Drosophila melanogaster: one gene and its partner. The protein of the gene in region 1 interacts with the protein of each later gene in a pairwise test. Each region holds a gene or a part of one and is shown on either strand. Other genes may lie near its edges.

What was found.
Region 2: the proteins of Hex-A (region 1) and Drat interact in a two-hybrid assay, tested with the Drosophila melanogaster proteins (one large-scale study listed by BioGRID).

Annotation. Positions count from the first base shown.
Region 1 is NC_004354.4:9,583,795-9,589,037, reverse strand, and holds Hex-A (hexokinase A), read right to left. Parts: upstream 3,149-5,243; 5' UTR 2,820-3,148; coding exon 1,194-2,819; 3' UTR 637-1,193; downstream 1-636.
Region 2 is NT_033778.4:7,525,733-7,531,538, forward strand, and holds Drat (death resistor Adh domain containing target), read right to left. Parts: upstream 3,559-5,806; 5' UTR 3,346-3,558; coding exon 3,296-3,345; intron 2,245-3,295; coding exon 1,408-2,244; intron 1,341-1,407; coding exon 923-1,340; 3' UTR 503-922; downstream 1-502.

The DNA of each region.
Region 1 (5,243 bases):
ATTACATAAATAATAGCTCACAAAGTGCGTTTCTATATCAAAAGGAAAAAAAAAAACAGTTTATTTTTGTTTAGAGTTTACCTGCTTAAGTGTTAACAACAAACAAATTCACTAAACAAAGACAAGCAATACATTACAAAAAAAAAAATCAGTAATATAGTGGCTAAATATATCATATTTATATTTATATATATGTATGCAGTATTATCATATAACGCTTCGTAATAGGTTCTATATAAACATTTACAATTACAGAAAGGACACCGTAGCATTACCTAGTAATCCTCTCTCTCTTTCTCTCGCTCGCTCTCTCTCGCTCTCTTCCTTTCTATCCCTCTGTTTCTGTCTCTTCTCTAGCGGCTTGTTTTTTGTTGCTTTTTTCGTTTTCGTTTTTGCTTTAACAATGTGCGGTTTTACAGTTTCTCTTTCCGTTGTCCTGCAGGATATGCTAGAATGCTTGTAGCACAGTAGTATAACAGTTTCTTTTCTCACTTGCTCTTAAGTATCTCCGTTTTTTTAGGGGGGTTTCAGGGGTCTTTTGGGCAGGGAATTACCAAAAAAAATTTGTTGTTTCAATCGAAATCGAAAAGAAATTCGCTTCACAAATTGTACTATATATACGCAAACATATACATTATGTTTTTAGTGTGTGTATATTATGTTTTCTTGTAAAATATATATATATATAATAGCATAACAAATTTTCAACAAAAATCGAAAATCGATCCATAATCATTAAGCATAGTGTTTTTTCTTCTTCTTTGTTTTCTTTTACTAGGAGAGAAAGAGATAGAATGCCACAGATCTTCTGTCTCTTAGTGGGGGGGTTTCTGTTACGCTTGTGTTTGTAGTGAAAAACCTGGTTTTTGCCTAATTAAAATACTAAAGCCAAGTCGCGCCAACTCACAAATGCCCTACGTATGCACATATAAGTTTTTCGTGGGCTTTTCGATTACTTTTCGTCGTGGCAGCTTCATTTTTTCATATCGTTTGGCTATAGGGCTTTTGTGAGTTAGCGTGGCTCTACTGTAATTATTACGCATACGCCACCGTGGCCGTTTACTAGGTATTTCTCATTTGCTCTGCTGTTTTTGTGGTTGTGTGGGTGTGTTGCTGTATCTCTTAGGACTGCTCCAGCTGCTCCAGCGGCTCCTCCTCCTGGTTCCTGATCCAGCTCCAGCTCCCTATCCATCCTACTTCTTGCCATTGAGTATGTCTTCGCGACAGGCGACGGCCGCCACCAGGGCAGCTCCACGACCGGAACCGTCCTCGGACAGCATCAGATCGAAGGTGATGCCCGGCTTGATCAGCTGCGAGATCTTCTCGACCATCAGGTTATGGAACTTGGGATGGAAGCGGTACACACTGCCATCGACGCCCACCGTCACCGTTGGCTCGTCCATTTTGTTGATCAGCGTGGCAATGCCGGCGGACACCAGGTGGGCAGCCCGTTTCGAGACGCACTCGCAGATGTACCGCACATTGGCGCAGTCCCCGTCGGTGGCATTGGTCAGACCGAGCTCCTCCAGCACCAGGCGGCAATTGGTGAAGTTGCCTGGCTCGTCAGCTTCAATTTCGCTCACATACTTGGTGAAGAACAGTCCGCGGGTGTTTAGCACTTCGGAATCCTGTCCATTGAAGAGTATACCCGCCTGGGTCATCTTCACCAGCACCAGACGCACCAGCTCGCCCATATACATGCCCGATATCATCTTCTCGAACGTCTGCTTGCCCGGATTGATGCTGTGCACATCGATGTCCCGATCGAATTCGGTGCGCACAAAGTCCAGTGCGCCATTGTCGCCGAATGCGCCCCATTCCGTGTTGATCAGGACGTGCTTCTTGCGCGGATCCTCGGCGGCGAAGAGCTCCGCCTCCTCCACACGCTCCATATAGCAGGCATTTGCACCGGTGCCGACAATCAGACCGATCTTGCAGTTGTGATTCTTCCAGGCGCAGCTCATCAGCGTGCCAGTGGTGTCATTGAGTATGGCACACACATCGATCTGGACATCGCCGCGCCGTGCGATGGCATCCTTTAGCAACTGGACAACATCCTCGTTGACGACGCCAGCGCAGTTGAAGCCCTTGGTCCAGGTCTCCAGCAGGCCCTTGGTCAGACCCAATTGGCGCAGCGGGAACGAGAAGGTGAAACCGAGTGGCAAACGCTCCTTGTACACATTGTGCTCGGCCATAAAGTTGGACAGACATTCGGCGATGTGATCGAATAGCTGTGTACCCGATCCAATCATAATGTGCTGCGGTATGGCATAGATGCGGGACTCCATTTGAAAATCGTTGTTCTCCTGCAGATGGATGAGCAGCACCCGGAAGTTGGTGCCACCCAGATCCAAGGCCAAGAACTTGCCACGCTCATTGCCATTGGGCAGATCCTGCACATACGTTACGAAGCACTTGACATTCGCCTTGGGATGTGTATCCTTGGCCAGGCCGCGGCGCAGCTCGTGCAGGATGCGGTAGCACAGCTCCTGCACCTGTTCGTCCGTTAGAAGCAGCTGCTGACATAACTCGTGCACCATCTTACTTTTCTCTGCAGCGGATAAGAGTGCAATTTGCTGCGGGCTGTGAGTTGTAAGATTTGTGGTTGTGGCTGTTGCTGTGGTTGCATTTGTGGTCGCTGTCGCTGATTTTGTAGCTGCCGCCGTCGTTGTTGTAATTTTCTCTGTTGCACTCAGTGCCGCCCCCTGTGCCACGCCCACGCGGTCCGTTTCATCTAGCCCGCCACCGTTATTGTGACCATTCAGTTGGGCGCTATTTATGGACACGCTCTTCATCGCCCCGTTCAGCTCCCGATCCATTATTATGTTGGTGTTTTCCTGCTTGTTTTTTTTTTCCTTTTTTCTTTTTTGATTCTCTCTGCCTTTTTTCGGTTCTTTCTTGCTCTGGCTGTTTTTCTTCGATCTTATGCGCTTGCACTCACACGGCAAAAAAAAAACGTTTACAATTTTCGTATTCGATGTGCACACTCGCGTTGGCTTTTCTACTTGGGCATTTGCAGTGCAACCTTTTCGAGTTGGTTTCAATTTTGAGTCTTTGAGTGTCCACACACACGATTCTCGCTCTCGCCGTGTTTTATTTTCGTCCGCTGCACGCGTCCAAACGCTCGGAACGTTTTTTACGAAATTAAATTCACTCGCCGACTGGTGCTCACTTTTCGCTGTCGCTGCTGCTGCGCTGCCGGCGCCGACCGCGACTGCGAGCCGCGCTCACACTCTCACTCTCTCTCTCTCTCGCTCGCCGTGAAGGAACCTTGAAGGTCAAAAACTGAAAATCGGTTTTGGGGCGGCATGGTTGGAGATATGGCGTGTATATGTGCGACGCTGAGGGGTCCACAAATGGCATATTGATAGGGTGCGCGTGAGAGAGGGGGCGAGAGAGTGGCTATGAATGAGAATGAGTCAAACGCGTGTTTATGCGGAAACCCTTATGCGTCGCGTAAGCAATATCGTGATCACGCATTTGATAAACATTTTAATTTGTCATCTCAAATATAGTCAATATATTTCAGGCTTTTCTCTTCAAGGAAAAAAATTATTTTCTTAAGATGTTAATGGTTTAATTAATGTTAATGGTTAATGGTTTTGCATTTCTTTGACAAATTAAATTGGTCGCCTATTATCACTGTGTTAAATTTGTTTTGATATTAATTACGCTATTAACTAACTAATTTACAACATTTTTAAGAAATATCTCGTTCTTATCGTGCCATAAACGCGGAACTACAAGGGCCTGGCGGCGACGCTCTCTCTTTTTGCTTCCGCTTATGAGAGAGCCGCCTTTTGTCGTCGTCAGCAATTTGGCTGATATTGACACCCTACAAACTGTGGGGTGCAATGGAATTTCTGTGGCACAGAAATGTATTATATATTATATAAATATATAAGAAAAAACAGTTTTCTGATTTTGCAAACAAGTTATTAGAAAATATTCAGTATACGTTTATTACTCATACGCCACCTAGGCCCAATAAATTATCTCTTTTGTATTAAGCTCAAGCTAAACATGTAGACTGCCTTTATTATAAATTGTGTAAGGAAGAAGGTCAAAAGTAAGACCACAGGTACAGGTAAGCACCTGTACTATATTTACCATTGTGGGTCGCCAGTTAGTACGCAAAATTTTTTTATTTGATAGAGACACATGTATTTATATCCATTTAATGTCGGTAGCGCATTTAAAAGTAGCCAATAGGATTTTTCGTTGCTGCCTGCGTATTGGCTTCGTTCTTTGAACCCCCTGTTCGGCGCCGGGCCCCACCACCCGCTTTCCCACTCTCAGCGATCTCGCTCTCCCTCGGCATCGGTGTTAGTATAACAATGCCGTTTTAGATGAGAAAGAGCAAGGTTTACCCAGAAAAATGGGAGAGCAAGTTTGCGTAGCTGTTGACAGCTACCTTCCCCTCCCCAACTCCCCTACCATCATCGTCTCACCCGTTTTTACCGCTTCTTGGAATTCTCAAGTTCTAGCGACGCGTCAACATCCTCAAATACATATATCTTTGCATTTGTATGTATTTTTGTTCAGTGTCCGTGGGGCTCGTCTCCCCGCCCTGCCCTCTTTTGTGTGTGTACGTGCCGCCCAGTTTGAAGTTCCGCTCCCTCCTTCTCTCACTCTCTTCCCCTCTACTTCGCTCTTTCTGGCTCTCCATTCAATGGAATTTTGTTGTTTCATATTTTTGCAGCTAGATTTCATGTGCAATTTCCATTCGGTGCTGCGTTTTTGCATTGTTGTTTATGTCTTGTGATCTTTTTTGTTTTCCAGCATTTTTTCCAAAGAGGCTCGTCCGTAATTGCAACAACAACGAGTAGAGCGTTTCCAACTACAAGTGAGAGTGCATGTGAACATACAGGCTTACGAACGTATGTATGTCTGTATATCCATATGTTTGTAGGAATGTATGTGAGAGGGCATGTCTGCAAACGTGTGTGCTGGCATGTGGCCTCATAACTGTTATACAAGACCAGACACCAACAGTCGGGGGCCAGAAACTAGCACCTAGAAGTCAGCTGGCCATCAGTTTTCAAGAGAGCATTAAAAAGAGAAATCAACATGACTTTGAAATAATTGCCGAAAGATAAAACAAGAATTAAAAGATATATTTAATAGAGAATAATAAAAAATGATTAGTTCGCTAAGGCTTCTTCAACTAACCCCGTGTAACCACATTTTTTCACAGCGTTGCTAATTTCTCGGCCCTTGCTGTGCTCCTATTCCATTCACTC
Region 2 (5,806 bases), on another chromosome or scaffold:
TCCAACACCAATCAGTCCGGCTTGGGCTGCCAACCATAAGAGAAGCGCTTATGGGGTTGCCACATCTGTTTGTTGCTCACCTTTAAAAATAGCTGTTACATTTGAAACTAAAAAAAAAACGTTTTTAAAGTGAAAATTTGCTGCACCTTAAGCTTCATCGGCTAAAACTAGTCTGTCCTGAAACTAATTTGATATCTATACATCAATTTTATGCTAGCGATGATATACTCTTTGTAATCGAATGATATTGCCTACAATATCTTTTGAAAAAAGGAACAGTATGCTAAAGAAAGATTAGCATATAGAGGCCAAATTGGCCATCCTACGGAGGCACCTAAGAAATATCAGGAAAAGCAGTTGCAACCTAGATCAGCCCCCATGGATTGATAGTTAATGGTTTTTATTTGTGAATAAGAGTAGAGTATAATGTTGGGTACGTAATGAGTACAAACATCAAGCAATTGAATCAAACATTTGCATCGCATGCGTAACAATTTCGTGTATAGTATGTATAACATTTATTTTGTAATCCGCTTCTGCTGGGCTTTTTGCTTAATCGAAAATCATTGAAGAAGCCGCCGAATTTTGACTCCGGCTAATATGGCGATGTGATGGGTGACTTTGCAAAAGTAGAATCATGGTGGTGGCTTACAAATAAAATAAATCACAATCTATATGTACATAATACTAAAAATGCCTAAAACGCTAAATCAATTAAAACGAGGAGTTCGTCTGCAGTCCAAAATTAAGGTTACAAAACAATGACCGGCTACAAAATAAGCACATTTCTGAATCCGCTTCGAGAGTGTCGCAGGTTGCAGGTTGTTTTGTCGGTTTTGTCGGTTGTCTTCCGAATACAGCTAACAGATATCCATATTAAATGAGTTAATGCCTTGATGGGGAACCATATCCTCCTCCACGCCTACTCAATGTCGTGGAAACGGAGGATGGCGCGTCCGGGTATCTCGGAGTTGCACAGCTTGGCGATGACCTCGGCCGCCTGCTCGCAGGGGAAGACGGAGTGCGGCGGCGGCTCGATCTTCTTGTTGGCTACCAGCTCCACCAGCTCAGCCAGCTGCTCGGCGGTGCCGTTCGAGATGGCGATGATCTCCTGCTGGTACTGCTCCGACAGGCGCGAGAACTTGGGCAGCAGCTTCTCGGCCACCTCGTCGCTGATCAGCACAACGCCGCCCTTCGACAAGCAGTGCATCGAGCGGTGCAGACTCCTGGAGGTTGTGCCAAAGTCAATGACCACGTCCACGGCTCCGCCGCACACGTCCTTGGTGCGCTCGATCAGCTGCGGCTCGTACAGGCATTCGTTCCACTGGACCACGCTGACACTGGAGGAAGGAGGAGGATGTTAGATGGTTAGAGCATGACACATCAGAGGGACCTCAAGATGCTTACTTTTTGATTTCTGTGGCCAGGCGGAAGCCCTCGTCCCGCAGACTGGCCACTGTGATGTCCACGTTGTCGGCTCCAGTTGTGGCAAAGTGATAGGAGGCGATGCGCACGGCCCAGAGTGCCAGGCCGCCAGTGCCCACGATGAGGATCTTGGGCTTCCGCTTCGGCTCCGTGGCAGCCCGCTGGCTGAGAATCTGTGTGACAACGGCCTGAGCCTTGAAGACGGCATTCCAGGCGAGCAGGGCGCCCGTCGGCAGCATGGCGGCCACCTCCATGGGCAGACTGTCGGGAATGGGCACCACGTGCTTCAGGTCCGGCACGACCAGCAGCTCGGCATAGCCGGCTGGGGTCTCATCGAACGGATAGACGATCACGCGCTGTCCAATGCGCAGGCCACGGTTGTTGGCCTCGGTGATCTCCGAGCCCAGGGACTCGATGACGCCGGCCACCTCGAAGCCGGGAAAGAAGGAGCCCTCCCGGATGCCCTGGTGTGCGGGCGAGGACATCGAGTTCACCGACGGACAGTAGTCGCTCAGCTCCGAGGACACTGAGGACATGCTGGTGATGGAGTTGGCGCGATCGCGACGACGATAGCAGGCTCCGGCGCAAACGATCCGGATGCGGGCGCCCAACGCCGGCGTGTCCTCGATGGGCACGAAGAAGTTGAAGACGCAGTTCTTGGCGCCCGGACCGGGCGACTCAATTGACACTTGGCGGCACAGCTTGTTCATGTTGTGCGTACTGTGTGTACTGTGTGGATTATGGTGATCGGGATCCGTTGGCGGCAGAACGGAAGTCAGGGACAATGAGTTCAGCGACAACGAGGTATCTGTTGTTCCACTGCAATCAGACAAAGGAATGGATACATCATATTTAGAGGTGTTGCCATTAAGAATTAAATGGTCACTAAACTTGGCTTGCTCATTTCGAAAATATATCTTTGTATCTTTGTACATATATTCTGATTTTTAATTGATTATCCCTTGAGAATTACCCTTTATTTGATAGCTAAATATATTTAAAGATATGTATATCTCTGATTGTTTTTGATTGCTATAGCTTCGATTGCGTATTACATATCCAAGGTCGCATTGCGTAGTTCTCAATAGTTTCAATGCCGCCTCATGATATGGCAGTTCTATTTCGCCTTTCCTATATACAAACACTCTAAACGACTATCTTGATCTTCAATGCCAGCCACAATTCAGAGTTCTCGATGTAAATATCATTAATGTAGCTACTTTTTGTGTGCTGTAATTACAGTGAGCACACATCTAAAAGGTCAAGTATTGGACTTGCTGACAATCCAGATACGAATCACTCCACATCAATAAACTGACAAAAGATAGAGCTAGAATCGGACACATTAGATTTGGTTAATATACAGCAAAGCCGGAAAGCCATGGCCATAAAGATATCAGATATAATATCGGATATTAGTCTGGTCTGAAGTCTGGCGCTTCAATTAGTTTGATAAGAGATGGTGACGAATCGTATCATATCAGAGCTTACTCCACTTGCACTTTCGTTACTTTTCTATGATTTCAACTCTGGAAGTGCTCAATTGAAACCATAAGGGATCAGTTTTTATCTCAGTGCACCAGCTAGCAATAAATGCCACATTATTAAAAAACAAAAAACAATTATTTATACTTAAAATTTACACAATTTTTTCCCATTTGTACTTTTTTGGGAGAATTTATGACTCAAAACTGTGAGTAAAATCTCTAAATTAAACACGCTATTAAAAACTAATAAAAATTAAAAGAAATCCTAAGACTCAAGATATTTTCCCGATACATATTGCATTTTCACTTTAGAGGCCATGGTAATTGGAAAACTCGATTGGGGAGAATGGGGAAAATTCAATCAGCATCGTTTAATAGTTTACCTCATTGAACTGAGCAAATTGTGCGGTTGACTGCATATATCGACCGGCATTTTGCTGTCCTCGTAATTGTTCTCTGTTAATTTTTTCACTTTTTTTTTTTTTTTGTTTTTTTGCACTACTGCAACTCAACTGCGTTGTGTATTTATTATACAAACTGACTAACACTTTTACTTGTGAATTGGCTAGATTTTTCTTTAGCTGCAATTGCTTCTCGGCGCTTTTCCGACGACTTGACCAGCGCACTTCCAAAGAACATCTGAGCCGCTTCACTCGATGCGGCAGCTAAAAAGCAAAAAAGCCGGTGACGAAATGGAACGAGTGGAACTCTCACACAGCCACACACGCACTCATCACGCACAGGGGCCCAGCAAAGGGGGTCGCAAATTCATCTATCCAACAAATAATATTGTATGCCATTCGTGGGTTTACATATAAGCATACATATAAATTTCGTTTTTAAAGATAGTGGTAAAAGATTACTCACGGAATACTATCAACCTTTTTATCTCAGTTTTGAAAAACTCTCTTAAACCTTTACTAAAAAGCATCAAATAAATTCATTTATCCCTGATTACATTAGATTGCAAAATGTAAACTTAAGTTTAAATTCCAACAGCACTCTTAGTTGCTAAATTTAACTCCAAAACTCTGCTTACTCAGCTTAGTAATCCTTAACCCCTTGGTTAAACCATCCGCACGCCACTGTGTGCTCACATACACGGCACGCAGGGAATGCGTGAAACATTTGAAATGAGTGTATTCATTTGTGTGGATTGCATGGCCGCATTTGCATCTATAGAAATGCATTTCCATATTTTGTGAATTTCGGAGCATTTCACATTTATTTATAGACAACTATTACTTACACCACTGGAAAATAAACATTCTATTGCTTTTGTTTAATGTTTTGCATATATTTTCAATAAACATTCATAAATTCCTCTAATTGGTTTTTGAACTTCTTCTATTGATATGTACATATGTTGATATCAGTTTGCCCAATATTGTAGCAGTGTACTTGAACCAGATTGTTGTTTATCTTTTGTTTACACATTCGAATTAACACGGAGGACGCAGAAGTCGAGAGAAAAACAAGCCCACAGGCAGAGCAATCAAAACAATTTAATAAAGAACAACAAATGCATTAGGCAAACGCGTGCGACAGATTTATGGCCAAAACAAAGTCCAGGAGCTGGCCAAAAACCCCTCCAAGAACGGAAGCCATCTAGAGCACGTTGCCAAGTGGCCATCGGATCCGTTTATAGAACTTTCGATGACAATATGTTCTTCTTAGAAAGCTGCTAGGCAGATCGGAGGAGGATGCCCCATTAGTCACGTCACGATTTGATTCTCATCATTCTCGGCGGGTGGTAACAGTTAATCGCAAGCAAAGCGTTGGACTCCAGTGGAAAATGGAAAAATGGAAGCGGTCTGCCTCGAGTGGAAATTTATCAAATGCTTGCAATATGCAATTAAAATGCGTCGTGCGGCCTTCACTCGAAAGCCAAATAAACAAACAACTTACATATGCATGGTGTATAGATAGATAGATACTTACAGTGTTACTTTATGAAAGCGAATGTTCTAAGCTTTTCAGGTTCTGGGTATTTAGCTAAATCTAGTTACATATCTTCTTTTTGGTAAGAAAAATTATTTTTGTCGGTACTCTCATTTTGTATCTTTATCTCAATCAATGCATCAAACTGTTAGCTTGCTGTATCTATGTATGCATCTGTGTATCTACGTATGTCGTGTGTGCGCACCTCTAACTGTTTGCGATTGTTGTTGCTTGTGTTTGCGGAGCGAGGAACGGTGGATGTTTGCATGGTAATGAAACGTTGAGAAGAAACTGATAGGCGTTGGTGAGGGGGCAGCGGCAAGCAAAACAAAACCAAAGTCATGTACACGTGCTCGCTGCATGATAATCACGCCTGAGTGGCATGCCCAGACAGTGAGTGAGTGAGAGAGGGAGCGCGTTGTTTTTCTTTTCTCTCCCTCACTCAATTTGTCTCTCTGTCTCGCTCGCTCCTTGGCGCAGCACGAATGCATAAATGGGCATCCTTCCTCTGCTTTGTTGTTCTTCTTTGTACGGCCCACACAACAACAATGCGTAAATAAGCCGCTATAAATACGCCTTACATTTACGCAGTTACGTTTTACACATTTGCATCCTTACCAAAAAATGTATGTACGTACATACATATATGTATATATTTACATTTATACATATGTATGTATTACTTTTTGGGGTTAATCAACAGCCTCAAACACTGAGAAGAATTATTTTCATAATTAGGCAGAACTTCAGCAAAATGGTCAAAACAAGTTACTTATTGGTGTTAACAACCCCTATATCAATGAATAAGTACACATTTACTTATTATTAACTTACATATGCCATATGCAAACATCAAATATGTATATTAAATCATTAACAATGAAATTTCTTGCAAAAACACAACAAAGAATAAGATAAGATTTATCATCGTTTCACTTTACATTTATAAACAT